Macaca mulatta: one gene and its partners. The protein of the gene in region 1 interacts with the protein of each later gene in a biochemical or structural test. Links are inferred from orthologs where the notes say so. Each region holds a gene or a part of one and is shown in the gene's direction. Other genes may lie near its edges. The genes, in order: HDAC4, UBE2I, CAMK2D, PPARG, NR2C1, NACC1 and ESR1.

Region 1 (3,874 bases):
AAGGCTTCAGGGCACTGACACCCAGTAACCAAATGCACAGGAGCCTGATGAAGAAGGCCAGTGAATGATTGGTTAATTTCCAGTGAAACATAAAACTTCTGAGTCAACAGAAATACCTGAGGCATTTGGGCAGCCAGCTGGAGCCCCGTATCTGCAGCCAGAGTGTCCTCAGAAAGGTGGCTTCCTCCCTATAGGCAGGAAGCGAGCCTGAGGAACCACAGCTGTAGGATTTGATTCTGTCCTCCAGCAGCAGAGCTGCTGCCTCGGCTGCAGGAGCCACTGGATCATTCCCTCCCTTGTCTCTGGACTCCATGCTGGCCGTGCCACTGAGCACCTCCCCAGCTTCCTGACTGCCAGCTGTGTGGCCAGAGCTGCATCTCTACCCCCAGCAGCACCCTGGAAGCCAGGAGCAGGACGCCCTGCAGTAAACTGTTCCCTTTAATTCTCAGCTGCAGGTCTTGGCACCGAATGAATCAGTGTGGGGCCTTGTACCTGGAGCACCTAGACCCAAGCCTGCCGCACGGGGGGTCAGGTCTCAGTGGTCTCCAGAGGCTTCTGGGCCAGGAGCCCTTCTCTACCAAGCTTCCCCCGGCGGTGGGCATTGGGTGCTATTTCTCCTTTTTGTTCAGAGGGCGGCCTCTCTCTAATTTCTGGGCCGTCTTAATTAGCACCCCGGGCACTAAACACTACACAGCCCAGCAGCCTGGCAAAGACAGAGAGAGAAAGCCCCGGGCCTCTCTGGCACACACACGGTGCTTCGTGGTGAACACTCATCCACAGGTCCCGTCTGACAGGCCCGGGTTTGGGGCCTCTTCCTGTGGTCGGGCCTTGAAAGTCGATGAAGGTCTGAAATTCAGTGTGCTGTTATTATGCGGATAAGAAGTGGGAAACTATTTACATTAATAATTTTTGGGACTAGTTTCTCATAGATCGGCGTTCACTTTGAAAAAAGAGGCTTGTTATATTCCAAGCGTGAGATGATGATTAGAAACAATTTCTGTTCTCTCTGGAGAGTAATAGGCAGAACTCCTTATCAGGGAAACTTGGTAGTACACGGAGCAATTTGCCGAGGTAAACCTAAGGCGGGGCACCTTCCAGCCGGTGTCCGGGAGGATTGCTTATTAACCGCTTAACCACGTGGGGCCCACAGCAATCCCAGCTGAATTTGGTTAGCCGCAGACTGGGGGCCTGTGGGTGCTGGCTCCTACTCCAGCTCCTGCTCCAGCTCCTCCGCCTGTCTCGGGGCTCCCCTCTTCTCTGCTCCCTCCTGGCTCTTTTTTTTTTCTTTTTTTGAGACGTAGTCTCACTCTGTTGCCCAGGCTAGAGTGCAGTGGTGCCATCTTGGCTCACTGCAGCCTCCACCTTCTGGGTTCAAGTGATTCTTCCCCCTCAGCCTCCCGAGTAGCTGGGACTACAGGCACCTGCCATCATGCCTGGCTAATTTTTTTTTTTTTTTTTTTGGTAAAGACAAGGTTTCACCATTTTGGCCAGGCTGGTCTCGAACTCCTTACTTCAGGTGATCTACCCACCTTGGCCTCCCAAAGTGCTGGGATTACAGGCGTGAGCCACCTGGCCTGATTCCTAAAGACAGGACAGATCAGAGCCTGGCCAGGCAGCTCTGGCTTCCCCCAGTGCTGGCAGCACAGGGCTGGACTCCGCCTCTCATACAGGAGCTGAGATGTAGGTACCTGGTTTTCCACGTTCACAGGATTTGTTCATCAAAACTAAGACAGGATTGGCGCAGAGCTCCCAGCGAGGAGGCGCCCGGCTTTCTTTGTGCCTCGGCTTGGGTGGCAGGTCGCTGTGCTCTCCCTCAGCTGCTGTCTGGGGAGAGGCTAGGCAGCTGTGGCCTCATCTCTGCCCTGCTTCCTCCACTCCACTCTGCCTCGTATGAGGGTGTGCACCTCAGCCTGTTCCCAGAATCCCTTGGGGTGTCCCAGGCCCCTGACTAAGTGGCCTCCCTACACAGAGCCCAGCCCAGCCCCATCTCATCAGAGAGGCACATCCCCACCAGCAGGCCTGCTCCAGGCTCCAAGGGTCCTGGGTGCCTGGAAGCTGATGGGCTGTTTCTGCTTTTAGCCTGCATGAGGATGTGTGGAATGTGAGACCAGGGAGGGGAGCGGCTGCAAATGAAGCCGAGCTAGCACTTCCAAGTCTGAGAATCAAGGGTGCTTTCTCACCCAAGTTTAGTGTGCAGATTCAGTGCTGTTGGTCAAAACTAAGACCCACAAACCCAACAAGGGGGCGAGGCTTCATGCCCACCCACTGTACGTGTGTGGTGTGGCAGAGTGAGTGCTTTGGTCCCCGTGTGTGGTGTGGCAGAGTGGGTACTCTGGTCCCCACATCTGCATGGCCTTCGCATATCTCCCAGTGGAACCAGCGAGGGCCAGGCTGCCGCCCCAGCAAGAGCCTCTCTCCACACCTGCCAGGCCCCACTCCCCTGCACCTGGTCCAGGCTGCTCCTGGCTCAGTACCTCCTCAGAGAAGCCCTCGTTGATACCCCATACTGTCTAGGCCTCCCTGGGACCCCGTGACTCAGCCTGTGTTATCCTGTTGATAAAGCCCATGGCGGGATCCCATGTGGACAACCTGCTTTCCCTAGAAAGAGCCACATCCTGGGAGACAGAGCCCGTGCTGGCCTCATTCTCGGCTCTGGGCCCACTCAGGCTTCAGGGCACTCACAGGGAAGGCCTCTCCACGCAGCTGGCCTCCCAGCATCCTTGTGGCCCGTGTATGGCCTGTGCATGGATGGGAGACTTGCAAGAGAGGGCAGCCCCTAGCCCTGCAGCCCAGCCGTGGGAGGTGCCTGCAGCCGCCAACATGGCCGTTTCTTCCCCGCAGCAAGCCCTCCTGCTGGAGCAGCAGCGGATCCACCAGCTGAGGAACTACCAGGCGTCCATGGAGGCTGCCGGCATCCCCGTGTCCTTCGGCAGTCACAGGCCTCTGTCCCGGGCGCAGTCCTCACCGGCATCTGCCACCTTTCCCGTGTCTGTGCAGGAGCCCCCCACCAAGCCGAGGTTCACGACAGGTAACAGATGGCCTTTGTGCAGCCTGAGGATGTGACGCGGGCCACAGTGGGCACAGACCGGGGCGGGGGGTACTCCGGGCCCAGCTCTGCAGAGGCTGAGGGGCTGGGCAGGCACGAGGGCGGGAACCACACAGGCCTCTCATGGAGGCCCTCTCCCTGCCCCACGCCCTACACCCTCAGTTCTGTTATTCTGGGGGCCTGTCATGGGCTCACTTGCCCACCTTTCCTGTCCCAGAGACCCATGGTCTCCTCCAAGAACAGTCCACAGCCCATGCCCGTGGGGCCATGAGAGCCTACAGCTTCTGGTCCGGCTTAGGAATCACGAGCCCACACTTCTCCACTTACTCTCTCATACTTCACCCACGTCCACAGCGTTGACTCTGAGGCTCCAGTGGCAGGACTGTGAATGGCTGGTGGGGGGCCATGATTACACGAGAGCAGAGCCCGGGACCCCTGGGACATGCTGCGGGAGCCACACATCTGTCTGTGCCATCCCTCGTACCATCCTCACCCCAGGGAGGTGACCTGCCGGCAGGGGTCCTTGGTTTTCCCTGCACGGTACCCCACCAGAAGTCAGGAAGCAAGCGAGGTGTCCACCATGGCTGAGGAGGCAGGCGGGGCTGGGCCCTGGACTTGTCTGCCTGGAGCTGCCTGGAGTCAGGGAGGAGACTGCTGTCCCGGGCCGCCCCGCCGCCCAGCCACCCCTGCAGGGGAGAGGCGGGAAGGAGGGCTGGCTTCTGGCAGGGCTTGCCTCTGAGACAAGCACGGAGGCAGGAGAGCTCTTCATATTGTTTTGATCTAATATTTCTTGTTAATGACGCACTAAGAAAAAAGTTCTGTAAATAC
Region 2 (4,674 bases), on another chromosome or scaffold:
ACCTGAGTTTGTCCTGATTGCTCCTTCAGAGGTCCCTTTCCTAGACCACTGGGTGGTTGAAGGTGTGCGCTTGTGTGATGTGTCAGGGTTCGGGATCTTGCTTCAGAAACATTCTGGGCGCCTGGGGCAGATCAGGTGCGGCCAGGTGAGCGTCTCCTGACTGCAGGTGCCTGGGTCTTGCAGAAGGGAATACCTCCCCAAGCCTGGGAGAGTTTGCGTTTGGGTGCAGGAGGACCTTTACAGGCTTCTTGTGCCAGCCGTCGTGGCGACCACCCGTTGTGGAGATGAGTGCGGTGGAGTTGTGAGAGGTGAGTGCTTTGCTCACCCTCAGCCAGGAAGTTGCTCGGAAGTCGGTGCTGTCAACCAGCAGAGCAAGGTGGTGATCCGAGAAGCTAAAGCTCAGCCGGTCGCGGGTGCCCAGCAGGACAGAAGGCAGACCTTCAGGCCACTCCTGGAGTGCTTGGCCCTGTCCTGGTTGCTGCAGTGTCTGGGCCTTGCTTGGCTCTGATAGATGAGGGTTGTTTTTGTCTTTGCCTCATATAAGTTCCCTGCTCTGAAGGGTCTAGTAACTGCTAGCCATTCACTTAGTGCTTATCTGTTAATTTGGAAGGGCAAATTCGATTTTCAGCGGGATTTTGAATGCTTCGTCTGTGTTGTGATTACATTGTAACACATTGGCCACTTTCTCCAGGAGGCCAGTAGGAGGGGGAGCAGGGGGAGGGGCCTGGCTTCTGCCTAGGACAGGGTGGGTGTGCACCTGTGGCTCCTTGCCCTGTGGTGCAGTTTCCTGTGAGACCACCCTGTGGTGCTGAGTGCTTTGGGGCAGGGGATACAGCAGCATCAGCCAGACCTTGGCGGGAGGTCTCACAGGAGCACCCTCACGACTTCTCACATCTGAGACAGCAATAGCTAGGTGCTGGGACGGGGGCCTCTAGGTGGCTCTGTCCGGTCTTCAGTAGGAGGGCTACCTGTGGCAGGGTTCCAGGCCTGGCTGGCCTCTCTGGGGCTGGCCTCTCTGGGGCCTGGCCTTGCCTGGCTGTGAGGATCGTGTTGGCCTTGGTCCTTCAGTGTCTGGAGCACTGGCCTGGGGCTTCAGAGACCTGCTTGATTCCTGGCCCCGCTCAGACCCCGGGCACCTGGGAGGTCGTGGCTCCTCAAAACGGCCGTTCACCAGGCTGCTTTGCACCGCACCAGGCACAGGCTGTGGCTACTCATGAAGCCCACCCTGGGGCTGGGGAAGCGAGAGCTGTGAGTCCTCAAGCCACAACTGAGCTGCTCCATGTGGAAGTGGAGGGTGGAGACACGTGCAGAGAGAGCCTTGAAACCGTGGTTGGCGGGAGCTCCACTCCACTCTGGGCTCGAACCCTGCCTGCCCACAGCTGAGCCCAGCTGTGTCCCCCACTTTCTCCCTTTCTGGCCCCTGGCTTCCCCCCACCCCCACTTAGAGAAGGGCATGGGGATGGGCAAGTGGTCCAGAGGGCAGGCGGCCTGCGGGCTCCTCCGCATCCCTGTGAGGAGGGCATGGGGAGGGACATCCCGGTGGGGCCCAGTCTGGGGCTACCTGTCTTGGACTTAATCGTGTAGCTGGAGGCCAGTGCCCGGATGGCCCCTGTCACCCTCTCGCTGTGATGCCAGCACCTACTGACTGGAGGACCCGGGTTCCTTTGCCTGATTTTTCTCAGGCTGCCCTGAGGATCCGTGTTTGGTTAAAAAGGAGCCAAATCCACCTGCAGGGCAGGCGGCTCTAGCAGCCCCGCCTGGCTTCCAGCACCCTGGTTCCCTGGCGACACTGGACCCGCCTGGGCTTCCTTGATCCCAGCCCCACCCCTGATTTCTGCTTTGCTGCCTCGGGAAGCCATCGTGCCGCCCAAAACCCGAATGTGGGCCTCTCGGAGCTCCTTCCTCAATGAGTCTGCTGGGGACTGGGCCTTGCCTCCCTAACAAGTGCCAGGTGAGGCTGCGGCGGCTCTGGCCCAGGTGGAGCTGCTGACCTGGCCCCTTCCTGCAGCTGTGAGGTGTGTGAGGTTCGTGGGCCTGCACAGGTGCGGGCGCCATCCAGGTCACCAGGGCCCTTGTAGGGACGGCCCCCCACGGTTTGGAAGGCCTGGCGCAACCCCCAGCTTTGTCGAGGTGGCCCTTGCTTGGCGCTGAGATGCCAGACTTGGAGGCAGCTTCAGTGTTCCCGTGGACTTTGAAAACCAGCACACACTTGGGCTTGAATTCTCTGGCAGGTTTTGTGCCCTGAGTGCTGTTTTTCATGGTAAAGGTGACCACCAGTAGGGTGACAGGTGAGGCTGGTGTCGAGGCTGCTGGCCCTGTTTGCCTGGTGTCCCCGGGGACAGTGCGGGCCGACAGGCTCCCGCTGGGAACCAGAAGGCAAAGGTGCCAAGCCCCTGAGGTCCCGTGGAGAAGTGTGGAGCTGGAATCTGGCGTGTGTGCCGCTGCCTCTGACCAGGGACCTGGTCCCGTACCCCATGCTCCTGCCCTGCCCCACAGGACCCGTCTGTCCCCTGAAGCCACAGGGACATGCTAGCGGCTGCAGGGTCCGGGAACGGTGGCCCTGTGGGGGGCTCCTCTTTCAGCGAGGCTGAGCCTCTGCCCTGTGGTACTTGTTCCACTCTGTCTTCAACACGGTGAAACCCCATCTCTATTAAAAATACAAAAATTAGCCGGGCATGGTGGCGGGGGCCTGTAGTCCCAGCTACCCGGGAGGCTGAGGCAGGAGAATTGCTTGAACTCAAGAAACGGAGGTTGCAATGAGCCGAGATAGTGCCACTGCACTCCAGCCTGAGGGACAGAGTGAGACTCCATCTCAAAAAAAAAAAAAAAAACAATATTAGGTGTCCCCCTGGCCCGGCTTGAGTCTCAGTTCTGAGCGCCTGATAGTAAGGCGGGGACCCAGATAGTAAGGCTGGGACCCAGCCCTGCCTAGTCCCCACCTGACGGTTCAGTGAGGACCCTGCCACGCCAGCCACCACAGGGTGGCAGCTACCGCCCAGCCACAGCAGCCCAGCCTCTGAACATCCGTCTCCACCGTGGAGCAGAGGCCGCGGCACGTGTCGCAGACCAGGGCTCGGGGGGCCCATGGGGAAGGGGTCCTACCTGTCCCCCCACCCCCGGTGATCTGGGATCCACTCATGAGGCCTCCCCTGGTAGACCCCGGGGTCGGACGACGGCTTCCAGGAGGAGAGTCTCTGCTGGGCTGGGCTGGCGCCTGTTAGGAGCAAGACTGCCCACTGCGGGCCGTGTGCACGTGGCGGGGCCGCAGGAGCCCGCTAGCCTGTCCTGACCCCGTGCTCTGCCTCCTGTGTTCCAGGGACTCTGAACATGTCGGGGATCGCCCTCAGCAGACTCGCCCAGGAGAGGAAAGCATGGAGGAAAGACCACCCGTTTGTAAGGAGGGCTTCGTTTCCGTGTGCAGTGCCGCGGACGGCCCCCCTGGGCTGAAACCGTGCCCCCCACCACTGGGAGGGAGCTGGCCGCGTGCCTGGGTCGCGCTGGTGGGGCTCGCGGGCCGGTTCTCGGTGGTTTTGGTCAAACGAGATGCCACCGCACTGATGTGCTTTTGTGGTTGTTTTCTCTCAGGGTTTCGTGGCTGTCCCAACAAAAAATCCCGATGGCACGATGAACCTCATGAACTGGGAGTGCGCCATTCCAGGAAAGAAAGGGGTAAGAGGCGCGCGCTGCTAGCCTCCTGCCTGTCGGGGCTCAACAGATGCGTGTGGCAACGCCACGGGGAAACTGCTCAGCCCCTGCCGTCTGTGACGGCCGCCCTTGTCACGGGCTGCGGACAACAGGTCAGATCCCCAGCTGTGGCCTGGCCCCCGCCCCGTGCGGACTTGAGCTCAGAAGGTGGTGCTGGCAAGGTTGGGGTGACAGCTGTGTCCCCACCGAGGGCATTTCTGGTTGAGAAGGAAGCAGGCTGGGCACAGGGCTGAGCTGTGGCAGAGGGGAGGGGCTCTGGTGTGTGTTGGGAGCAGGCCTGAGGGCGGGCAGCCTTTGCAGGCTGGAACCCGGGATTCTGCTGTGTCCTTCCAGGTGTGGCTCAGGTCACGGTAGCTGGGTTTGCTGGAGAGCCACCCTGGCGTAAAGCCGCCTCCTGGAGAACCTCCTGGGGCACAGGGACTGGCGACAGCAGCCTAGGATGCCTGCTTGGGGCCCCCTGTGTGTCTGTGGGGAGCAGGGCGGCCTGTGTGCCTGTCGTCTTTGCCCGGCTCCCGTGAAGCACTTGGCCGGGGACTCCAGGCTGGTGTGCACATAAGGTTCATGCTGGTGAACCCTGAAGGAAGGAGAGAGCCCTGAGGTGCTGGTCCTGCCCGAGGCCTTGTTCCCTCCGGCCCATGCCACCCTCTGGGTTTCACTCTGAAACTCAAAGCAGCTTCGGTCCCCCTGAGCTGAGCAGTCCCAGCAGGTCTCAGCTTTGCCTGAGACATGGTGTCACTTGGGTTTGTCGCTTGTCTGAGGCTCTGCTGAGAACGTCCCTTGCTCTTCACGTCACGGCGACGCAGGTGTGCGGCCCCGAGGAAGACGGGAGTGGTGTCGGATTGTGGGGTGGCAAAGGCGCCTCATCCAGGCAGGATCTGGGGCGGGGCTTGCAGAACCCTTGGGGCGAAGGCTGTGCTATTGGTGCTGCCGCCCCAGTGTGTGGCACCCGCCGCCCCGGCCCAGCCCCCG
Region 3 (4,399 bases), on another chromosome or scaffold:
AGGTTTTTATAGTCCCGTGCTGTAGAACAAAAGGCAGTAATTTGAAAAAACTCGTCCATAACGCTGTTTTCGGTCTGCGTCAAATTTGCAATTGCATAGTTTTATTAAAGAGAACGGGAAAGAGGGCCCAGAAGTTGTTCTAGCAATCGGCAGCAATTTATCTATTTTAAATTGTAATGCATACTTTTTTTTCCTCCTACTGAAAACAATGGCAGATATGCTAAAGGGAAGGACACATTCTTGAACCACTAAGTGGTTTTTCAGATAGCCATTTACGGAGTGCACTCAAGTCCCACTATCTGGCTGAAAGCAAAGTACACACGACCTCCCCTTTTCCTTTTTCCCTTTGCAAAGCGAAACAGGCTAGACGCGTTTACGTGATGTGAATGACGTCAGCCCCCACCGGGTCGCGTGACCGACACCCAACCTTCCTACTACCTCGCCCCGGCCGCCAGAGTGGGAAATATCGCGAGAACTCGCCTTACTATCAGAACTTACTGAGGTTACAGGGGAGTTACTCAGAAGGGAAGGGAAGGTGTGGTTGAGTGGTGGAGTTTTTGCCTTCATTCTTTTAACGTTCATAGCCAAAGCAAAGGCCTTTGGGAATTGCCAGAGCCTCAGCCACCATCCTGGAAAACAGCGGGGGAGGTGGGCCTGGAGGTGGCAAGTGAAATGTGGCTCAGGGGTCGTCATTGCCCCTTGCAGAAGGGGCTGCGGGGGAGGGAGACAGCCTGCGCCGGGTTCTGGGGAGCTGGCGACGCAGTGAACCCCGCTGAGGTTGGGTTTTGCCCCAACAGTCGCTGGTGGCTGTGGGAAGGGTTGGGACCTTCTCTGAGAGCAATGAACAGCCCACATCCGGCCCCTGCTGTGTCAACTTTGAGTGGCGTGGAGATGAAGTGGTTGCTCTGCCTTGCTCGGCCACAGCGGGTGTCGTGGGCCGGCAGCCGGCCTGGAGAAGTCACTGCTGCCCAGCGCCCAAAACAGGGGCGTGGGCTACCGCGACCAAGGGCGGCAGCCCCGGGCCATCCTCGAGTTGCCCTGCATCTTCCCGCTCAGTCAGCCCCAGATTGAGGCAGGCTTCTCTGTGCGGGTTTAAATGGGTAACTGACGTCTCGCCTCATTCACCCAAACCTCCAGGCTTCTCCCCCGCAAATCCTCCTCCACCCACCTGGTTTCTCCTAGACGGGTGTGCTCGTGTGTGCGACCGAAGGAGGGATAGCGAGAGATCCACGAAGGGACACACTTGGAGTCGCTAGAGGGAGGTGTGGGACCAGCGAGGAGGGGGCTTCGCCAGGGAGGGGGTGCTGGCTGGCGGAGGGAGCGGCGGGAGGAGGCGCCAGGGGAGGAGACGGAGGCCTGGGGACGGCAGACGAGGCTTCGTCCGAGCCGAGCGCTCTTTCTCTCGCTGCGCCGTCTTGAAGCCGCGCGGGCTCGTGAGCAGCGCGAGGCAGTCAAGGTGCCTCGCTTCGCCGGATCCGCTGCTGCCCGCTGGAGGGAAGCCGGTCCCGGGCGCGCACGCTCGCCCGAGCCCCGGGCGCGCTCCGCGCCTGAGCCTGCTGACAGCTGCCGCTGGGCTCTGGCTGTCCGCTCCGGGCTCCGCGGCCTCGGCCCCGCTGCACTCCACCTCCGCCCCCTCGGACTCCCTCCCCTCTGCTTCTACCCCTCCTGCCTCCAGTGCGGATCGTTTCGCAACTGCTTGCCACTCGCCCCGTGCCCGGCTGTTTTTCCGTTTCCCGGCCCCCTCTTCTTGAATACTTTACCCCCTGTATTTGGGGACAGGGACTGGAAAAGGGGCGGGTGGAGCGTCCAGTGGAGAAGAAGGAAGCGAGGCCCGCAGGAGGAGGAGGATCGGCGGACCGTGGGGAGGAGACCCCACGCCACCGTTTCTGGTCATCTCCCCTCCCGCCCCGCCCCTGCGCACACTCCCTCGCGGGCGAGCTACTTTCGGACCAGGAAAGTAAGGGCGGCCCTGGGTGACAGCGCCGCGGGGCCAATCCCGGGGTTAGCCGCGCGTCTGCTCGCTTCTCGTCCGTCGCGCTCCCAGCCAGGGCACAGCCCGGACCAAGGATGGCTTCGACCACAACCTGCACCAGGTTCACGGACGAGTATCAGCTTTTCGAGGAGCTTGGAAAGTAAGCGCCTTTGCCCGGCATCCTCATGTCCCCTTTCCAGCTGAGGGCGGGTCGCGTTGCCCCAGACCCACCGGCCTCCGTCTTGGGGCGAGGGAGTTTGGGAGACGAGAGGAGTGGGAGGAGGGCCCCTGGTTTGTCAGCTCTGGGGAAGGTGCTGTCTTAGTAAGGGGAGGGAACACAGAAGGCGTAGGACCCTTGCCCCGGCTGTGGCTCATTTCGATAGTCCCTAGCCCACCTTCTCCCGGTCCCCCACCCTTCTGCACTGAGAGACTTAGTGAATTTACGATCTCTGCAGTTGTAGCTGTCATCCTGAGAAGTGTGCGCGCGCGCCTGTGTGTAATGTGTGTTTGGAGAGGAAATTAGAACCCATGTAAAATGCAACATAGATCATGTTTTCTGTAAATAGAGATGCCTCCTGGTTAGCCGGCGTGTCGGCCGTATGACCCATGTACTGAGGAGAACTCACAGCCTCAGACGGTGCCATATTTATTGATGCCGAAAGTTCAACTTGGCATGGAGACTATTTCGCATCCAGTAGTTGTTCTGTCCAGGAAAAGGGCCACCCAACAGAACCCAACCCCTTGCCCTATATCCACTGTTATTCTTTGCACCAGATTACCGCTCACCATCATTCTTCCTAGGATTTACGTGTGCATCTTTGCGTTCTCTGGGAGGATTTATTTATACAGGCAGCGGAAAAGCCCTCTGGAGACTGAGCGCGCTCTTAAGAGTAGCCTAGCATTGTGTAAAACCACCTCCTCTACCTAACTGGCAGAACTATTTGGAGATGCTAGGGAAGGAGGCAGGAGATCTACTGAGGACTTGTGTAAAGGGACCTAGGGGCCGAGCCGTGAATGCTGATTTTAGTAGCATTGAACCCAAACCCAATTCCTCTTTCACTAGTTTCGACTGTTACTTTTATGAAAGGGGTGCGTTTATATGTATGTTGTTGGTTTATACTGTAATTAAAGGAAAGGTAAATATTTTTGAAGGTAATAAAAATTATATATGTATATATTGTCTGGTGTTAAAACATGGAGAATATGTCGGAAGAGCAGCTTAATTCAAATCTCTCCCCTCCCCCAGCCCAAAACAAGACACAGAGAAATCACCATACCAGGATTTGTTAAACCACACTAATGTGCTCAAGATTGATATTTTAATGAAAATAATCGCCGTGTTTACTTACTTGGAACCACATTAATTTTTTGTTTCCTACCAAAGTAAGTAGGCGGCAGATTTTTTTGCTGCTCTTCCTCTGCTCTCTTCTGTGCAGGGTTTTTCTCAGAGCATTTGGTGCTGTGAGTGTGAACTGTAAAATGTTTTCAAATTTCTTGTGCAAACAAGAGCGGTCATAATTGGCAGTTCCTTTCATTTTGTTGATTAATAATGTGTGCTCCCAGTTAAATAAAATTTACTTTTATTCTTCAACATTAAAGAAAGTCTAGGTTTCCAGGAAGAATTGTTCATTTACTGGATATTACTGTACTTCACTGGCAATCCACTAAAATCAATAAAAATGCTCAGATTTTATAAATTTTTTAATGGAATGTTATATCTGTTATATTAATGACCTGCTAATTATTGGTTTCCAGGGGGGCATTCTCAGTGGTGAGAAGATGTATGAAAATTCCTACTGGACAAGAATATGCTGCCAAAATTATCAACACCAAAAAGCTTTCTGCTAGGGGTGGGTATTTTCAACCACATATATTGGTTAATTTTGTATGTGTCATGTTGATTATAGGTTCTGTTGTATGTAAATATCATGTAGTTATAACTGAATTTTAGACTTAGGTATCATATTACATACTGAGATTATTTTCTTCCTGAATGCTTCTTGGTCTGTACAGTTTAAAAATAAATGGAAAGATATAATTATTATTCGATAATTGCTATTAAAATTCTATCTGTCCTACAGGCAATAGCATGAATAACTATATTTTAAAGCAAATAAATGTCAGGTGCATTTTGCTTATAGTTTAAGTATAAAATAACTTTTAGAAAGACGATGGAATGGAAAAATATAAGTCTCACAACTGTCATAATTCCCTTTTGCTTTTGGGAGGAAAATAGGTCATAGCTCAGTTGAATCATATATTTCAATTGTAGTTACACTTGAACTTAATTCATCAAGGTATATTTAACAGTAATAGCTTTGATAAGAAAAAAATTTATGATTGCTATATTCTAGGAAGTTTAGTTTTATTTTGATGTTTCTGTGTGCAGCTCAGACCTTTACTTGATCTTCGTGTTAAGGCTTCGCA
Region 4 (4,647 bases), on another chromosome or scaffold:
AGAGTAACAGAGACTGGTATAGGACTGGAGTTCAATTCAGTCATATCCTTAAATATTGTGCCATTGTGTCTGGATTACTTTGTAGTATAAGTAAATTTCCAAGCATGGGGAGGGAAGAAGAAGTGCCTTTATTGAGAATTCAAGTGAATATAGAGAAGACTAATTTTACACAACCGTAATCACTGCAGTCATTTGGACAAATTAGCAAACCCAAGTTTTGCTTTAACTTGGATTGCTTTAATAAAGATGTTTTGGGGCTTAATGGCACAGTTGCCCAACTCCCCACTTTATTCTGTGCTGTTCAGAGCCAGCCAGCATTTCCCCATCAAGCTCTTGCACCATGATTGACAGGGACACTTTTACTAGTCCCCTTGAAGAATGAATAGTTACTCAATGTAGATTAACCAGATATATATTTATTTTACTCAGGGAATATCAGGATAAATATAATTCAGAGAATTAATTGCCTTCTCATATACTGCCCTGTGTGGGGACATCTTTGAAAGTCCGCAAAGTCACTGTGATTCTAGTAGGCCACTCATGTGACAAGACCTGCTCCCACATCAGTAATTTGGCACAGCTAGTGTCTCTCCTTGCCAAAAAGGGCAAAGGCCTTGAGCAAGAAGCCAGCTTTTTCCTGATTACAAAACCGACCACAATTCCTCGCCAACCTAACAGCGTAAGTCTATTTTTTTCTGGTGATGTGTTACTCTTCTCACAGAGAACTCCATTTTTTCATTATGACATAGCACTTATCATTTAAACATCAATTGATGTTCAAACATCAGCTGATGTAACATTGCTGTAGTTGCTATTGATGGATAAGCTGAAGTTTTTAAGAAAGCAAACCCGATATTTAAATCGAAACCATATCAAACCCTTCTTCATTCTCTGAACTATTTAATTTTACAGAATTTGGATAGCAGTCAATATCATTTTGGGCTTCACAAATCAGCAGAACAAGTACCTTAGGAATATAACATTTCGGTAGCATGCTAATACCAACGTTTAAACTATGGATATGTATTTGAATTCCAAAATTTTCTTCAAATCACATGATTAGAGATTCAACCAGGAATAGACATTGAAAGAAAACTTTGCCCAAATAAGCTTTCTGGTATTTCATAAGCAAGAGATTTGAAGTTTTCCATTTAAGAAGGAATTGATGTGAATTTTACGACAGTTAAAAATGCAAGTGGATATTGAACAGTCTCTGCTCTGATAATTCTAAATACAGTATAGTTCACGCCCCTCACAAGACACTGAACATGTGGGTCACTGGCGAGACAGTGTGGCAATATTTTCCCTGTAATGTACCAAGTCTTGCCAAAGCAGTGAACAACATTATGACACAACTTTTTGTCACAGCTGGCTCCTAACAGGACAGTGCCAGCCAATTCAAGCCCAGTCCTTTCTGTGTTTATTCCCATCTCTCCCAAATATTTGGAAACTGATGTCTTGACTCATGGGTGTATTCACAAATTCTGTTACTTCAAGTCTTTTTCTTTTAACGGATTGATCTTTTGCTAGATATAAACAAAATATCAGTGTGAATTACAGCAAACCCCTATTCCATGCTGTTATGGGTGAAACTCTGGGAGATTCTCCTATTGACCCAGAAAGCGATTCCTTCACTGATACACTGTCTGCAAACATATCACAAGGTAAAGTTCCTTCCAGATATGGCTATTGGGGACGTGGGGGCATTTATGTAAGGGTAAAATTGCTCTTGTAGTTTGTCTTCCAAGTTATGTTTGTTTTAATACTATCATGTGTACACTCCAGTATTTTAATGCTTAGCTCGCTGCTATCGCATTCACTTAAAAACATATTCAGATCCTTAAAAAAGGAAACCTAACCTAATCTGTATTTTATCTCTGTGCATGGCTCCCATTTCCTGAATTTTAAGCACTAACGGTATAGTTATATCCAAAAACAATCCTGTTCATTTTTATTTCCTGAGTTTGCATAGATTTCCCAAGAATACATAAAGGCTTTTTAGACTTGAAGGGTCACTTTTTCCTCTTTTCATCTTGTATGTTAGAGATCTCTCATAATGGTTTTTTTCCCTCTTGCAGCGCTTTTGTTCCTCTTGAAGTACTCTCAGTTCTTTTCTGTTCTACTTTGAAATCTAGATACTGTGTGGGCACTTTAGCTCTCCCAAAGAATTGTAATTTACCAGAGTATGGGACCAAGTGATGCTCTTTATTAGATTTCTGAGGATGCCTCCTAGCATAGTGCCCAATACATTGCAGAATGGATTGTCGGAACCTTGAAAAAGATCTGTTCCAAGCATCATATTTTATGCATAAAGAAAATGAGGTTCCTCAAACAGTAAATGCCTATTGTAAGTGACTACCTATTACTTCTCTTCAGATGTGTCAGAATCAGATACCTCCTTTTCAATATTTCTTTCTTGGCCATTGCAAAATGTAATTTCTCCATTTCTACAGCTCCTTCTACTGGAGTTTCTTAGCACCGCTTTTTCTGTTTTGTTTTGTCTCATATTGATGTCTTTATTTCTATTCATTTTATTTTTCTCTTCTCAGATGCTATGTAAAAATAGATTGTTAACTAGTGTGATTCATGTTTTATAATATAGGTGCTAAAGCATTAAAATTAAGTCACTTAATTGCTGAAATAGATTTTAACCTTTTCGTTTTCCTGGAAGCCTGAAGTTTGAACATATTAGTCATCATTTTAAAAATATAAAGCTTTTTAAAAATTAGTAAGAAATGTTTCCTGAAATACTGTTTTATTTTATTACAGTAATTTGTTTCAACATGTATTTCTATCATCTAAGCCTCTTAACTAGGAGTTTTGTTTTTTTCCTTAAAGTGCTGTTATTCTGTTTTTCTGCAAGCCAAAAACATTGTTGCTATCTTTCTTCAGTTATTAATTTACCCTGCCTCAGGGCAGAATGTCCTGGCTATACTGTGAAATAGTTCTTGAGTCAAAATTTGATAGTTTTGTCTATTTTCAAAGAACATGTCTAGAATGCAGTACAACAAATATCAACAAAATAGGTTAACTGAGAGGCAAGTACTATTTGTGGTAAGGGATGGTTATGTGATTCAAGTTAGTTTTCATTCTGTGCTAATCTCTAACTTTATGCTTTGAATTTACCCTGAGTTTAATTTTTTTGAGTCTCAATTTCCTCTAAAAGAATGATCCAGTACTTTTCTTCCTAATTAACATGGTACAGAATGAAATTATTAGCAATTAAAACATGATATTTTGTACCAATAATTTAACCCTTTTCTTACAGGGTCTCTGGCTACTCCTTCTTCATAAGCACTGTTTCTCTGTTAAAAATGTGAGTTCCTAAAGGCCAAAGACCTATGATTGTTACTCCTACTGTAATTTGTAAATGACCTTTAAATAATTGCTCCACCTCTTCCAAAACAGACAGACTTACAAATAAATTAGATATATGATCATTATTAGCCGAGGCTAGCAGTGTTGAACACTGGGGAGATGAGGTATTTGGCCTGGGTACAGTAGTCCTCTTACGTGCTTCTTCCTGATCATAGGCAAAGTGAAATTGGGAGTGTTGCAAATAGTTGGGTACTGCTATTAAGAAAAAGTGGCACATTTCGTGTGAATGACCCAGATATCCAGGTATATTGGTTATATTCAAGAGATTAGGCCAGGCGCGGTGGCTCAAACCTGTAATCCCAGCACTTTGGGAGGCCGAGACGGGCAGATCACGAGGTCAGGAGATCGAGACCATCCTGGCTAACATGGTGAAACCCCGTCTCTACTAAAAAATACAAAAAACTAGCCGGGCGAGGTGGCGGGCGCCTGTAGTCCCAGCTACTCGGGAGGCTGAGGCAGGAGAATGGCGTAAACCCGGGAGGCGGAGCTTGCAGTGAGCCGAGATCCGGCCACTGCACTCCAGCCTGGGCGACAGAGCGAGACTCCGTCTCAAAAAAAAAAAAAAAAGAGAGATTAAAAATATCCACTACACTTTATGCCCAAAGAGGACTTCCATGCTTTTTCCAAGGCTCCATCGTTGCTGTAACCCCTTTATATTGCTCCCCTTTCTTTTTTTTATCAAGAGCTCCTCAAGCAACCCCAAGTAACCTCATGCTGGCTCTGAAACCATTTCCACCAGTAAAAATTGGCGAGATTGAAGGGAAGCTTCCACAAGCTCAAGCTGAATATGCCTCCTGCTTTGAGTGCCAGACTTAGTCCTGTGTGAATTCTACAATTTTAAGTTGTTGCACCAGAGCCTTGAAAGATGATGACACACTTGTCCTTTGGAGCTGATTGAGCAATGGAAATATGCCTTAGAGACATGATAAATGCTGCAATAGACAATCCGTCAAAATGAGTCTCTCCTGAGATAGGAGTGAGTGATTGATTGCATGCCATTTTTATTGAGGGATACTTAATCTGTGGTTACATTACTCCAGGCAACTATATATTCAGAAACATTTAGATAACTAAAATTTTCACCTTTCCAGAAGTTTAAAGGGACCCATGTAGTACCAGGGAATATAAGGACCAATCCTATCTTGGCCACATATTTGCTGTGTGAATTTAAGCATGCCATTTTTCTTCTCTGGCCTTCTGTTTCCACATATATTAACAATACACAGGATTAACGGGAGGATTAAATGACATAATACTTGTGAAAGTAGA
Region 5 (3,874 bases), on another chromosome or scaffold:
ATGATTATAATTACCTCAAGGAAATTTATTTATAGCCCCTTTTCTATTTAAAAGGTTCAGAGTTATCTCTTCATGCTATTACAAGCTTATTTTTGTCACGTCATTCCACATGGAAAGGTTCTGAGCTCTTCATAGAGTACAAAGTTTAAAAATAACTTGTGAAAAAGAAAGCAACAAAGCAAGACCAACTGAATGTTCTTTAATTTTTTTAATAGAATGAGTGCTACTGAGTAACAACAGGTTTTTGTTTTGTTTTGTTTTGTTTTTTTAGCTCCTAACAGATAATTCTTCTCCAGACCAGGGACCAAATAAGGTTTTTGATCTTTGCGTAGTGTGTGGAGACAAAGCATCAGGTAACATTAAGAATAACCTCCTGAAAATAAAAAAAGAAAAAAAAATAACCTCCTATATGTGTTGTGTTGTTGAAATAACTACCACACTACCATGTTTCTTCTACTTAAAGTATGTCACTTTTATTGTTAATATTTGTAGCCTATAAAATTTAACTAATTTTTTCCCGAAGTTCTTTTTTTTGTGATAGTCTCACTGTTGCTCTGGCTGGAATGCAGTGGCATGATCTCAGCTCACTGCAGCCTCTGCCTCCTGGATTCAAGCAATTCTCCTGCCTCGGCCTCCCAAGTAGCTGGGGCTACAGGTGTGTGCCAGCACACACGGCTAATTTTTGTATTTTTGTTAGAGATGGGGTTTCACCATGTTGGCCAGGCTCGTCTCAAACTCCTGACCTCAGGTGATCCACCCTCCCCTCCTTGGCCTCTCAAAGTGCTGGAATTACAGGTGTGAGCCACCATGCCTGGTTCCAAAGCTCTTTATTCACTTATATATTTTTTTACTTCAGTGCAGTTTAATTTGATTTGTAATGAAATAAAATGCATATTTCACTTTTGAAAGTGAATATGTAAAAAAAAAATTTTTTTTTTTTTTGAGATGGAGTCTTGCTGTGTTGTCCTGACTGGAATGCAGTGGTGCAATCTTGGCTCACTGCAACTTCTCCCTCCTGGGTTCAAGCAATTTTCCTGCCTTGGCCTTCTGGGTAGCTGGGACGACAGGTGTGTGCCACCACGCCCAGCTAATTTTTGTATTTTTAGTGGAGATGGGCTTTCACCATGTTGGCCAGACAGATCTCGAACTCCTGACCTCAAGTGATCCACCTGCCGTGGCCTCCCAAAGTGCTGGGATTACAGGCATGAACCACCATGCCCAGCTGTGGAAAAATGTTTTAATGTGAAAACTAGAAATTTTGGCCAAGGAATCATTTAAAAATGATGACTTCTGATCTTTACTAATATATTACATTAGGCCAGGTGAGATGGCTCATGCCTGTAATCCCAGCACTTTGGGAGTGGAGGCAGGAGGATCGCTTGAGGCCAGGAGTTCAAGACTAACCTGGGCAAGATGGCAAGACTGTCTCTACAAAAAAAAAAAATAACAAAACTGGTCAGTTGTGGTGGCACAAGCCTGTAGTTCCACCTACTTGGGGATATCACTTGAGTCCAGTAGTTCGAGACGGCAGTGAACTGTGATTGCACCATTGCACTTCAGCCTGGGCCACAGAGTGAGATCCTGTCTCTAAAAAAATTATAATAAATAAATAAAAATAACTTCTAAAACTGTTTTTTATGTCAGAAGCTCAAAAATCAGTTTCACCTCATGTTGTTTAAAGGGAAGAAATTGGCTTATTTCATGTCTGTTCTGAAATAATGTGACTTTTATGTTTTCTTAAACATTTTATCTCTAGGACGTCATTATGGAGCAGTAACTTGTGAAGGCTGCAAAGGATTTTTTAAAAGAAGCATCCGAAAAAATTTAGTATATTCATGTCGAGGATCAAAGGATTGTATTATTAATAAGCACCACCGAAACCGCTGTCAATACTGCAGGTTACAGAGATGTATTGCGTTTGGAATGAAGCAAGACTGTATGTATTAGCTTTTAAGGAGAAAATACTTTTTAAAGATTCCAGCAAACTAGAAGAGTATTGAAATTAACAAATTAAAATAGGTCAAATATGTATACTTTTTAGTTTACAGTTTTCCAACTAAAAATATAAGAATACAGACATACGTATGTATTTTTTATTTTTTCCACTAATATTTATTGAATACCTGTGTAAAAAGCACGTATTTGTAGTTTGGCAGCAAGTTTAACTAGCTTAAGATACCAGTTTACTTTTGGATTAAACTACTAAAAGGTGATTAGTAAGATAATGACAATACCTAGTATTGATTGAGCTCGCACTATGCTAGACACTGCACTTAGCATATGTATTAACTTACTCTCACAGCAATTCTCTGCAGTAGGTACCAGGTTACCCATTTTACATTTGGGTAAACAGGTTGAGAAACCTGCTCAAGGTCATACAACTAATGTAAGTGGCATAAGCTGGCTTTGAATCCTGGCAGTTTAACAACCTTACTGTACTATCTCCTAAGTGTTATGAGATAAAATTCTTACAAATACTATGTATTATATTTTAGAAAGGAAGACCAAGTAGTTGAATTACTTCTCAAAAATCTCTTGCCCTTCATTAATAAAAGATCTACCTTAGGCCTTTTTGTTCCTTTCAGTATTTTTTCAATGGATTAAATTTCACTTCATTTTGTTTAAAGCTCTCATATAGATAGGTAAGTGACTACTAACTTTAGTTCTTTCTTCTTGATGGTGAACTTTTAAAAAAGAGTTCCTTTTCATTTTTATCACAGGAATGGGGGAGCAGGGAGAGAAAAAAGAATGAGAGATGCAAATTGGTTAGTTTTACTAATCTAAAGCAACTTTGTTGAACTCGCACATAATTTCTAAAAATTGATGGTTATCTTTGGAGTTTAGTATGGTAGCCATGTCTCCTATTAGCAGCATTAAGCTTACCTACAGCTTACATTTATAATTGTCTGTAAATCCTATATTGTGATATAATAGTTTAACACATTTTTGTAGCTGTCCAATGTGAAAGAAAACCCATTGAAGTATCACGAGAAAAATCTTCCAACTGTGCCGCTTCAACAGAAAAAATCTATATCCGAAAGGACCTTCGTAGCCCATTAACTGCAACTCCAACTTTTGTAACAGATAGTGAAACTACAAGGTAAAGTAAAACAGACACTGAGTAGCTGGTCATTTTGTTTTTCTTCCCAATGAAACTCAGGCCAAAATGTGTGCTTATTTGTTACAGGTCAACAGGACTTTTAGATTCAGGAATGTTCGTGAATATTCATCCATCTGGAGTAAAAACTGAGTCAACTGTGCTGATGACATCAGATAAGGTGTGTTTAGTACAATTTAAAGCTTAGATATTTTTAAGCATTTTAAAATGTTTTCCTAATCGCTTCCTTTGCTTTGGTAAATTGCTTTGTTCTTAAATATTCCACATTACAAGATGCCTTTTTTTTTTTTTTTTAACGTAAATTAGAAATGTTCAGCCGGGCACGGTGGCTCACACCTGTAATCCCAGCACTTTGGGAGGCCAAGGCACGTGGATCGCTTGAGGTCAGGAGTTCAAGACCAGCCTGACTAACATGGAGAAACCTCGTCTCCACTAAAAATAGAAAAATTAACTGGGTGTGGTGGCACATGCCTGTAATCCCAGCTACTCGGGAGGCTGAGGCAGGAGAATCGCTTGAACCCGGTAGGTGGAGGTTGCGGTGAGCCAAGATGGCACCACTGCACTCCAGCCTGGGCAACAAGAGTGAAATTCTGTCTCAAAAAAAAAACAAAAAAACAAAAAATCAGAAATGTTCCTAATTTCACTAGGATGATTATCACTTCAACATGAAAGCAACAAACACATACTCTTCCCTCATCTTGAAATACGAGTCCTCAGTAAAAGACATTTATAGGTGTAAAATTCTTAATATTTCTT
Region 6 (4,585 bases), on another chromosome or scaffold:
GAGAGAGCCAGAATTTTGATCCCAGGCAGCCTTGTCCCATAGCTAGGCTGTGATGCCCAGAACCTACCGGGCATCTGCTTGGCTGGGCTGTACCAGGTGTGCCACGTCATTGAGCTGGACATTCCGGCGTATGAGATCCACAGCCCGGGCAGAGGTATCGTTTGCAACCACAGATCTGAGCCCAGGCACCTCTAGGGCAAATCGAATGGAACGTAGGCCTGAAGCTGCCAGGCCTTCCAGCACATGCAGGCCTTCCTGTTGGAGTGAGCAGAAAACCTCCCTCACACCTCCATCTCCATCCTCTTCTGGGCCCCAAGGAGCCCCCACCACCCACCTCCTATAGCTCTCCCCCTCCAGGAGCCCTCTGTCTCCCGCTAAATTCCAGGACTGCCAGCTGCTATGCTCAGGCCCCACCTCACAGATTTCCCCCACGGCCGCTGTGCGAGGTTGGTCTCCTGAGGCCAGGTCTTCATTCTCTTTCAGTTCAACCTTTTCCTCCTCTTGCTCTGACAAGTCCACGACCACCTTTTGCGTGTCCTTCTCTCCTGGCACCTTGACTGCAGCCACCCAGAGGCACAAGTCAGAGAGTAACGAAGTCCTCTCTGAGAAACCTCCCCTTAATCTCCAAAATATCTTCCCTGAAATCCCTGGGGAAAGGCTGAAGGAGCAGAACCCAGGGCCTGCTATGTGGCTGAAGCCTCTCTGGATTTGGGCGGCAGAAGGGCCCAGGCAGGGAGATAAGACTTGTGTGACCCCCGCCCGCCAGAAGCCTGGACCTCCACTCACTCTGGATTCCTTTGGCCCCAAGCTGAATGCGAGCAAACTCGGTGATCACAGCACATCTGGTGGGAGACAGAGGACTAGCTCATACCCCGCCCCCGCCATCCACACTGACCCACTAGCCGATGCCAGGCTGACCTCTGACCCCTGCTCACGTCAGGTCCCGATTGAATTCCTGCACCGGGTTATAAAAGACCTCGTTGGCGCTGGGAAAGGCGATTTTGGCAGCCCCCTCGGTGATTGTCGTCTCCTGGACTTCACGTGGGCATTCTTCTCCGCAGGGCCCGGTGCCGTTCTCCATCGCTGCTGGATTCGGCAGCCCTGGGGACTGCCCCTCGAAAAACCGGGCTGTACAGAGCACACGGGTGGGGCGGAGAGTGAGGCTTAGCCACAGAACGATCCTTGCATGAGACATCCGCTGGTGCCTCTGTCCGCCAAGCCTGGTTCGGGGGGCGGGGAAAGGCACAGAGAGGGTCAGAGAGCCGCATTCTGGGCCCGGGGGTGTCCTACATATCTATGAAGTAGAAACTAGGAAGACCTGCGGCCTCGGTAAGCTGATAACCCCTCGTTTTGGGGATGACTGGTTCCTGCGGAGCCGATGCCCTCGTGCAGGCCCGCCCTGAGTCTGAATCCCTTCCCGCACTGCCCAGCCCCTCCTCACCTGGTCTCGTAGCCACAGAAAACCGAATTAGTCAAGGTGCACGTTTCCCAAATTAGGACCTGGGCGCCGCCATGTTGGCACGGTGGGTGGGGGAAATCACATGATAGTGGTTGGCCAATCAATGAGGACGTGGACGGTGGGCGGCCGGGATCAAAATGAATGCCATAAAGGAAGCGCGCTGATCATGCTGTTCCGGGGGTTTTAATCACAGTGGATCCCCTGGGAGAGGACACGTCACTAGTCCCATTTCACAGATGAGGAAGTTGTGGCTCAGAAAAGGGGCGGTAAGCGGAGAAACCCAACAGCTATTGGTCCTCTTCTGTGTTCTGGGTGCTATATACACATTATTTCAGAGCACTCTGCAGGGATAACTCAGGCTCTGGAGTTGGATTTACTGGGTTTGAATCTCAGTCCCACCACATGCTCTGGGCCGGTTACTCTAGGGCCTTCAGTTTTCTTATCTATTAAATAAGAATCGTGGTTTCTCAGATAGAACAAAGATTAAATGACAGATTCCTGGAAAGTGTGTAAAGAGCCACTCTGACCTTGTAAGCGCTCGGTAAAGTTCTAACCAGTGTACGAAGGCAGGACAGCGAAGTGGTTCCCGGGTACCTGGGTTCCAGTCTTAGCTCGCCCTGCGACTTGTTGTTAACTCTGAACTTAAGTTACCGCTTTTGCAAAAGGGCAGAACTTTTTACCATTTGTTAGTGGGTTGTAGTGAGAAGTAAACGAGTTAGTGCACGTAAAATGCTAACAGAACCTAGCATCCGGTAAGCATCATAAAAGTCTTAGCTGTTATTGTCGCTTTTGAGCCTGCGTTTAAATCCTGGCACCCGCCATCACTTCCTTGCTGTGTGATGATCTTGACCAGCTTTCTTTGTGCCTCCTTTTCTGTCTTTCTTTCTTTTCTTTTCTTTTTTTTTTTTTTTTGAGACGGAGTCTCGCCCTGGATCATGCAGTGGCATGATCTCGGCTCACTGCAACCACCGCCTCCCGGGTGCAAGCGATTCTCCTGCCTCAGTCTCCCGAGTGACTGGGATTACTAGCGCTTGCCATCACGCCCGGCTAATTTTTGTATTTTTAGTAGAGACAGGGTTTCGCCATATTGGCCAGGCTGGTTTTGAACTCCTGACCTCAGGCGATCCACCCACCTCGGTCTCCCAAAGTGCTGGGAGTACAGGCGTGAGCCACCGCGCCCAGCCGCCTTTATTTTCTCTAGTGTGTAACAGTTCCCACTAAAAAATTTTACTGTGTAGTTTAAACGAGCTAATTCCCATAAAGAACCTAACACGGTGCCTGCTACAATAAACAGCAGTCATTATTGTTTTTGTTTTACAGGAAACTAAAGTTCGGAAAGGTAGAGCGACTTGCCCAAGGTCGCGGGACTAGAAGGTGGCGGGGTCGGGATTCGAACCACCGAGCTGAGCCGACGTACCGGCGAGGATCCTCCCAGGGGCATAGAGAGGAGACGGAGCCGGTTAGATGGGGCGCGCTCGGAGCTCGGCTGGCCTCGCCTGGAGGGCGGGGCCTGAGGGCGGTGCGCGGGCGGGGCCGGTGCCGCTCCTCCCTGGCCTGGCTGCGGCGGCGGCGCGGCTTGCGCTCGCTCGGCGCTCGGCTGGGGCGGCCTGGCCCACAATGAATGGCCGCCGCGGCTGCCGCTGCTGCTGAGGCGGAGGCCGCGGAGGCCGCGGAGGCGGAGGCCGAGGCCCCGGCGCAGGGGGGCGCGCCCCGGGCCCAGGCCCGGCCCCAGCCGCCGCTGCGGAGCCCGCCGGGAGCCCCCGGAGCGCGGCCACGGCGCAGGTGAGGCGGCCCGCCTCAGGCCCGGTTCCGGCCTTCTCCAGCCGGGGCGGCCCGAGGGCTGAGTGGGGAGGGCCTGGGTGCTTTCTCGGACTGAGGAGGAGCCGGGCCCGCAGCCTGCACTGTGCCCGGGCAGGCGTGTGTGTGCAGGCCCGGCTACCGCGGGCAGACTTGAGCGTCCAGCCCGAACCTCGGGGCTTGGGGGCGGCAGGATCGTACCTGGACCGCTCCCCCAGCTCCCAGCGAGGGAGGGGGCCAGGTCGGGCCGGGGCGGGTACCGGGGATCCAGGGAAGTTAGAGGGTCCGAAGCGGAAAAGTGAGGAGGCGCCCGTGGATGCCGGAGGGGGAGGGGGAGGAGGAGTCGGGCTCTGGCCAGGCCGAGTGGGGGAGGAGAGGAGAGCGGCGCGGCCGGAGGGGGGCGGGGAGGGGCCGGGCCTGCAGGTACCGCCTGGGCGCTGGAGGAGGTGGGTGGGTCAAGTTACAGGCCTGGGGGCGGCTGAGGAGAAGCCCAGGAAGTGGGGCACGGTGGGTGTGGGCGGAGTTAGTTCGGGTGGGGGCGGATAGGAGATCCCAGAGATGTTTTCCGGGGGTCACATGAGGTCAGGACTCAGATGTGGGGAGGGGGAGGCTAGATCTGGGGGCGATTAGGTAAGGCGAGGGACTGCTGTAGGAGCTTTGCGAGTCGGGGGAGCAGAGCCTTTGGGCTAGGCTGGGGGGATGTGGGGGCAGGTCAGGAAAAGCTAGTGTGACCAGCAGGTATATACTGAGATGCGCCCCGCATCGACCCCAACTCGAAGTGTTAGTTCAGAGTCACATCTAAGGGGTTCCCTCATTCCCACACCTCATCCCAGAAGCCTCTAGAGTCCTGACCCTACCCCTTGGGCAAGCCTCTGCCAACTGTTCAAAGGCGCTGGCCAGTGGGTGTTTGTGTGGGCAGCTGGAGACAGTCTGGAACACCTAGCTTAGGCATCTTGTTTATCACAAGGTGGCCCTCGCCCACCCCCACCTTATATATCTACAGGGAGGCAGCCCAGCAGACATTACCTGGGTATTTTAGGATCCTGCGTTCTTTCTCTACCTTTTGTGACCAGAAGCTGTTGGTTCAAGCCTAGTGGATGGGACCTCATAGCCACCGTCATATATATTAGTACCATGGCCTCCCAGGCACCAACTCCTTGCGCCTGAGTTCTGTGTGCCACCTCCCTAGGGGTGAAGAATTAGAGGGAGTGAGCATGTAAAACTCTGCTAATGGTGGTTTGGAGGCTCCCGATGGGGTAAAGGCAGGGCACAGAGAAAAGTTAAAGGGATCAAATCAGGCACTCACACCCTGGCCCAGGGATCTACCTC
Region 7 (3,874 bases), on another chromosome or scaffold:
CTGTGCCACGCTGCTCCCTGTGAGCAGACAGCAAGTCTCCCCTCACTCCCCACTGCCATTCATCCAGCGCCGTGCAGTAGCCCAGCTGCGTGTCTGCCGGGAGGGGCTGCCAAGTGCCCTGCCTACTGGCTGCTTCCCGAATCCCTGCCATTCCACGCACAAACACATCCACACACGCTCTCTGCCTAGTTCACACACTGAGCCACTCGCACATGCGAGCACATTCCTTCCTTCCTTCTCACTGTCTCGGCCCTTGACTTCTACAAGCCCATGGAACATTTCTGGAAAGACGTTCTTGATCCAGCAGGGTAGGCTTGTTTTGATTTCTCTCTCTGTAGCTTTAGCATTTTGAGAAAGCAACTTACCTTTCTGGCTAGTGTCTGTATCCTAGCAGGGAGATGAGGATTGCTGTTCTCCATGGGGGTACGTGTGTGTCTCCTTTTTCTTTCATGACTTGTAGGATTCTTTGTGCCATTTGCATATAATTTGGCAGGTTCAGATTTTTTAAGAGCCCTATGAAGTGCTTTTTGCGTGTGTTTTAAAAAGGCATTTGAAAATTGAAAGTGTGATTTATGGAAACTAAATCATCTGTGAAAAATTGCTTTGGAAAGTAATGATTGCTGGCCATAAAGGGAAATATCTGTGATGTACCTAATGTGTTTTTAACCCTTTAGTTGCTGACAATCTATAGTCATTAATGCTAAACTCGATTTTGGCTTCATATTAAATCAGCTAATCTGTATATTGTCCGACAATGGTCTGTTTTTGTAGGAATTAGATAAAATGTATACTTGATATAAAATATTCAAAAATGTAACTATTAGTAACAGTAAGCTTGGCATTTAGATATACCATGAACACTTTGTCAGGTACTCTGTTGGGTGTTTGGGATAGCAATTAAAATAAAGTATTGATAGTTGTACCAGAGTCTATTAGGCTGCAGCAAAGGAAGTTTATTAAAAAGTATAAACTCTCCAAGATTATAGATGCATGACATACTTTCCGTATTTTTTGTGTCCTTAATATGTATATGTATGTGTGTGTGTGTGCGTATGTGTGTGTGCATGCTTAACTTTTAATTCAGTTAAAAACTTTTTTCTATTTGTTTTTCATCTGGATATTTGATTCTGCATATCCTAGCCCAAGTGAACCGAGAAGATCGAGTTGTAGGACTAAAGAATAGACATGCAGAAATGCATTTTAAAAATCTGTTAGCTGAACCAGACCGACAATGTCACATAATTGCCAAAGCTTTGGTTTATGACCTGAGGTTATGTTGGGTATGAAAAGGTCACATTTTATATTCAGTTTTCTGAAGTTTTGGTTGCATAACTAACCTGTGGAAGGCATGAACACCCATGTGCGCCCTAACCAAAGGTTTTTCTGAATCATCCTTCACATGAGAATTCCTAATGGGACCAAGTACAGTACTGTGGTCCAACATAAACACACAAGTCCAGCTGAGAGAATCTCAGAAGGTTGTGGAAGGGGTCCACTTTGGGAGCATTTTGCAGAGGAAGAAACTGAGGTCCTGGCAGTTTGCATTCTCCTGATGGCAAAATGCAGCTCTTCCTATATGTATACCCTGAATCTCCGCCCCCCTTCCCCTCAGATGCCCCCTGTCAGTTCCCCCAGCTGCTAAATATAGCTGTCTGTGGCTGGCTGCGTATGCAACCACACACCCCATTCTATCTGCCCTATCTCGGTTACAGTGTAGTCCTCCCCAGGGTCATCCTATGTACACACTACGTATTTCTAGCCAACGAGGAGGGGGAATCAAACAGAAAGAGAGATAAACAGAGATATATTGGAGTCTGGCACGGGGCACATAAGGCAGCACATTAGAGAAAGCCGGCCCCTGGATTCGTCTTTCGCGTTTATTTTAAGCCGGTTCTTCCCTGGGCCACCTTTAGCAGATCCTCGTGCGCCCCCGCCCCCTGGCCGTGAAACTCAGCCTCTATCCAGCAGCGACGACAAGTAAAGTAAAGTTCAGGGAAGCTGCTCTTTGGGATCGCTCCAAATCGAGTTGTGCCTGGAGTGATGTTTAAGCCAATGTCAGGGCAAGGCAACAGTCCCTGGCCTTCCTCCAGCACCTTTGTAATGCATATGAGCTCGGGAGACCAGTACTTAAAGTTGGAGGCCCGGGAGCCCGGGAGCTGGCGGAGGGCGTTCGTCCCGGGACTGCACTTGCTCCCGTCGGGTCGCCAGGCTTCACCGGACCCGCAGGCTCCCGGGTCAGGGCCGGGGCCAGAGCTCGCGTCTCGGCGGGACATGCGCTGCGTCGCCTCTAACCTCGGGCTGTGCTCTTTTTCCAGGTGGCCCGCCGGCTTCTGAGCCTTCTGCCCTGCGGGGACACGGTCTGCGCCCTGCCCACGGCCACGGACCATGACCATGACCCTCCACACCAAAGCATCCGGGATGGCCCTACTGCATCAGATCCAAGGGAACGAGCTGGAGCCCCTGAACCGTCCGCAGCTCAAGATCCCCCTGGAGCGGCCCCTGGGCGAGGTGTACGTGGACAGCAGCAAGCCCGCCGTGTACAACTACCCCGAGGGCGCCGCCTACGAGTTCAACGCCGCGGCCGCCGCCAACGCGCAGGTCTACGGCCAGACTGGCCTCCCGTACGGCCCCGGGTCTGAGGCTGCGGCGTTCGGCTCCAACGGCCTGGGGGGTTTCCCCCCACTCAACAGCGTGTCTCCGAGCCCGCTGATGCTGCTGCACCCGCCGCCGCAGCTGTCGCCTTTCCTGCAGCCCCACGGCCAGCAGGTGCCCTACTACCTGGAGAACGAGCCCAGCGGCTACACGGTGCGCGAGGCCGGCCCTCCGGCATTCTACAGGTACCCGCGCCCGCGCCGCCCGTCGGGGTGGCCGCCGCGCCCGGCGAGAGGGAGGAAGGGAGGAAGGGAGGGAGGGAGAAGGGGGAGCCGAGGGAGCAGCGGGAGCCGCGGGACGCGCGACCCGAGGGTGCGCGCAGGGAGCTCGGTGCGCGCGGCCCAGCCCGGGGGTTCTGCGTGCAGCCCGCGTTGCGTTCAGAGTCAAGTTCTCTCGCCGGGCAGCTGAGAAAAACGTGCTCTCCACCCACTTAGGGTCCGTGCGACAGGCAGACCCGAAAGCCCGGGGCTTCCTAACTAAACACACGTTGGAAAACCAGACAAAGCAGCAGTTATTTGCGGGAGGAAACACCTCCAGGCAAATAAACACGAAGCGCTTTGAGTCACTCGAGAAGGTCCCGCTCTTGGCATTTAAAGTTGGGGGTGTTTGGAGTTAGCGGAGCTCGGCAGAATTTTATTTATCCTTTCAATGTTTTTGTTTAATGTGCTCCCCAAATTTCCTTTCATCTAGACTATTTGATTGGAAATATGTCGGCTATGATGATGACTTTCTGGGAAGCGATTCCTGTCACCCTCTTTCCCCTCCTCCCCACCCCACGTCCTGGGGCTTTAGAGAGCGATTGGGAGTTGAATGGGTCTGATTTCGGAGTTAGCTGGCTGAGTCCGCGCTGGAGCGGATTGCTGGCATGTGACTTCTGACAGCCGGAAATTTGTAGGTGTCCCGCGAGTTTAAAACAAGCCATATGGAAGCACGAGTGCTTAAAAATAATCTCCCGCCAGCCCAGTGGCGAGCCTGTCCCACCCGGGGAGAATGCCCCGGAGTGGCGTGCGGGTCCGCCGGGGTCTGCGCCTCGCAGCCACTGTGGAACGAGCGCGGCCGGTCCAAGACACAGGAGACCACTTCGTGACTTCAATGGCGAAGGTTGTGTGTCCTCATTTTTATTTTTTTTCCGACAAGATTTATTCTTTCTCCCTCTCCCTTTCCTCCCATTTTCCCTTGCCCAGTTTCTCCCCCCCCCCCCACCTTTTTTTTTTTCCTGATG

The links.
Region 2: of the proteins of HDAC4 (region 1) and UBE2I, one has a biochemical effect on the other in vitro, tested with the Homo sapiens proteins (3 studies listed by BioGRID). The link is inferred for Macaca mulatta from reciprocal best matches to the Homo sapiens genes HDAC4 and UBE2I.
Region 3: of the proteins of HDAC4 (region 1) and CAMK2D, one has a biochemical effect on the other in vitro, tested with the Homo sapiens proteins (2 studies listed by BioGRID, with this or other methods). The link is inferred for Macaca mulatta from reciprocal best matches to the Homo sapiens genes HDAC4 and CAMK2D.
Region 4: the proteins of HDAC4 (region 1) and PPARG form a complex in vitro, tested with the Homo sapiens proteins (2 studies listed by BioGRID). The link is inferred for Macaca mulatta from reciprocal best matches to the Homo sapiens genes HDAC4 and PPARG.
Region 5: the proteins of HDAC4 (region 1) and NR2C1 form a complex in vitro, tested with the Homo sapiens proteins (2 studies listed by BioGRID). The link is inferred for Macaca mulatta from reciprocal best matches to the Homo sapiens genes HDAC4 and NR2C1.
Region 6: the proteins of HDAC4 (region 1) and NACC1 form a complex in vitro, tested with the Homo sapiens proteins (2 studies listed by BioGRID). The link is inferred for Macaca mulatta from reciprocal best matches to the Homo sapiens genes HDAC4 and NACC1.
Region 7: the proteins of HDAC4 (region 1) and ESR1 form a complex in vitro, tested with the Homo sapiens proteins (2 studies listed by BioGRID). The link is inferred for Macaca mulatta from reciprocal best matches to the Homo sapiens genes HDAC4 and ESR1.

The regions. Positions count from the first base shown.
Region 1 is NC_133417.1:144,358,130-144,362,003, reverse strand, and holds part of HDAC4 (histone deacetylase 4), read left to right. Parts: intron 1-2,841; coding exon 2,842-3,028; intron 3,029-3,874. UniProt on the Homo sapiens protein: Responsible for the deacetylation of lysine residues on the N-terminal part of the core histones (H2A, H2B, H3 and H4).
Region 2 is NC_133425.1:2,512,107-2,516,780, forward strand, and holds the start of UBE2I (SUMO-conjugating enzyme UBC9), read left to right. Parts: upstream 1-1,781; 5' UTR 1,782-1,951; intron 1,952-3,316; 5' UTR 3,317-3,327; coding exon 3,328-3,393; intron 3,394-3,585; coding exon 3,586-3,669; intron 3,670-4,674. UniProt on the Homo sapiens protein: Accepts the ubiquitin-like proteins SUMO1, SUMO2, SUMO3, SUMO4 and SUMO1P1/SUMO5 from the UBLE1A-UBLE1B E1 complex and catalyzes their covalent attachment to other proteins with the help of an E3 ligase such as RANBP2, CBX4 and ZNF451.
Region 3 is NC_133410.1:123,024,497-123,028,895, reverse strand, and holds the start of CAMK2D (calcium/calmodulin-dependent protein kinase type II subunit delta), read left to right. Parts: upstream 1-1,367; 5' UTR 1,368-2,067; coding exon 2,068-2,132; intron 2,133-3,727; coding exon 3,728-3,822; intron 3,823-4,399. UniProt on the Homo sapiens protein: Calcium/calmodulin-dependent protein kinase involved in the regulation of Ca(2+) homeostatis and excitation-contraction coupling (ECC) in heart by targeting ion channels, transporters and accessory proteins involved in Ca(2+) influx into the myocyte, Ca(2+) release from the sarcoplasmic reticulum (SR), SR Ca(2+) uptake and Na(+) and K(+) channel transport.
Region 4 is NC_133407.1:151,164,933-151,169,579, forward strand, and holds the start of PPARG (peroxisome proliferator-activated receptor gamma), read left to right. Parts: upstream 1-1,558; 5' UTR 1,559-1,582; coding exon 1,583-1,664; intron 1,665-4,647. UniProt on the Homo sapiens protein: Nuclear receptor that binds peroxisome proliferators such as hypolipidemic drugs and fatty acids.
Region 5 is NC_133416.1:102,391,256-102,395,129, reverse strand, and holds part of NR2C1 (nuclear receptor subfamily 2 group C member 1), read left to right. Parts: intron 1-271; coding exon 272-353; intron 354-1,756; coding exon 1,757-1,936; intron 1,937-2,952; coding exon 2,953-3,100; intron 3,101-3,187; coding exon 3,188-3,278; intron 3,279-3,874. UniProt on the Homo sapiens protein: Orphan nuclear receptor. Binds the IR7 element in the promoter of its own gene in an autoregulatory negative feedback mechanism. Primarily repressor of a broad range of genes.
Region 6 is NC_133424.1:13,685,871-13,690,455, forward strand, and holds the start of NACC1 (nucleus accumbens-associated protein 1), read left to right. Parts: upstream 1-1,576; 5' UTR 1,577-1,725; intron 1,726-2,779; 5' UTR 2,780-2,918; intron 2,919-3,185; exon of another isoform or gene 3,186-3,241; intron 3,242-4,585. Other genes in the region: TRMT1 (tRNA (guanine(26)-N(2))-dimethyltransferase), read right to left, coding at 68-255, 415-557, 787-842, 936-1,195. UniProt on the Homo sapiens protein: Functions as a transcriptional repressor. Seems to function as a transcriptional corepressor in neuronal cells through recruitment of HDAC3 and HDAC4. Contributes to tumor progression, and tumor cell proliferation and survival.
Region 7 is NC_133409.1:70,539,118-70,542,991, forward strand, and holds part of ESR1 (estrogen receptor), read left to right. Parts: intron 1-149; exon of another isoform or gene 150-308; intron 309-2,315; 5' UTR 2,316-2,385; coding exon 2,386-2,837; intron 2,838-3,874.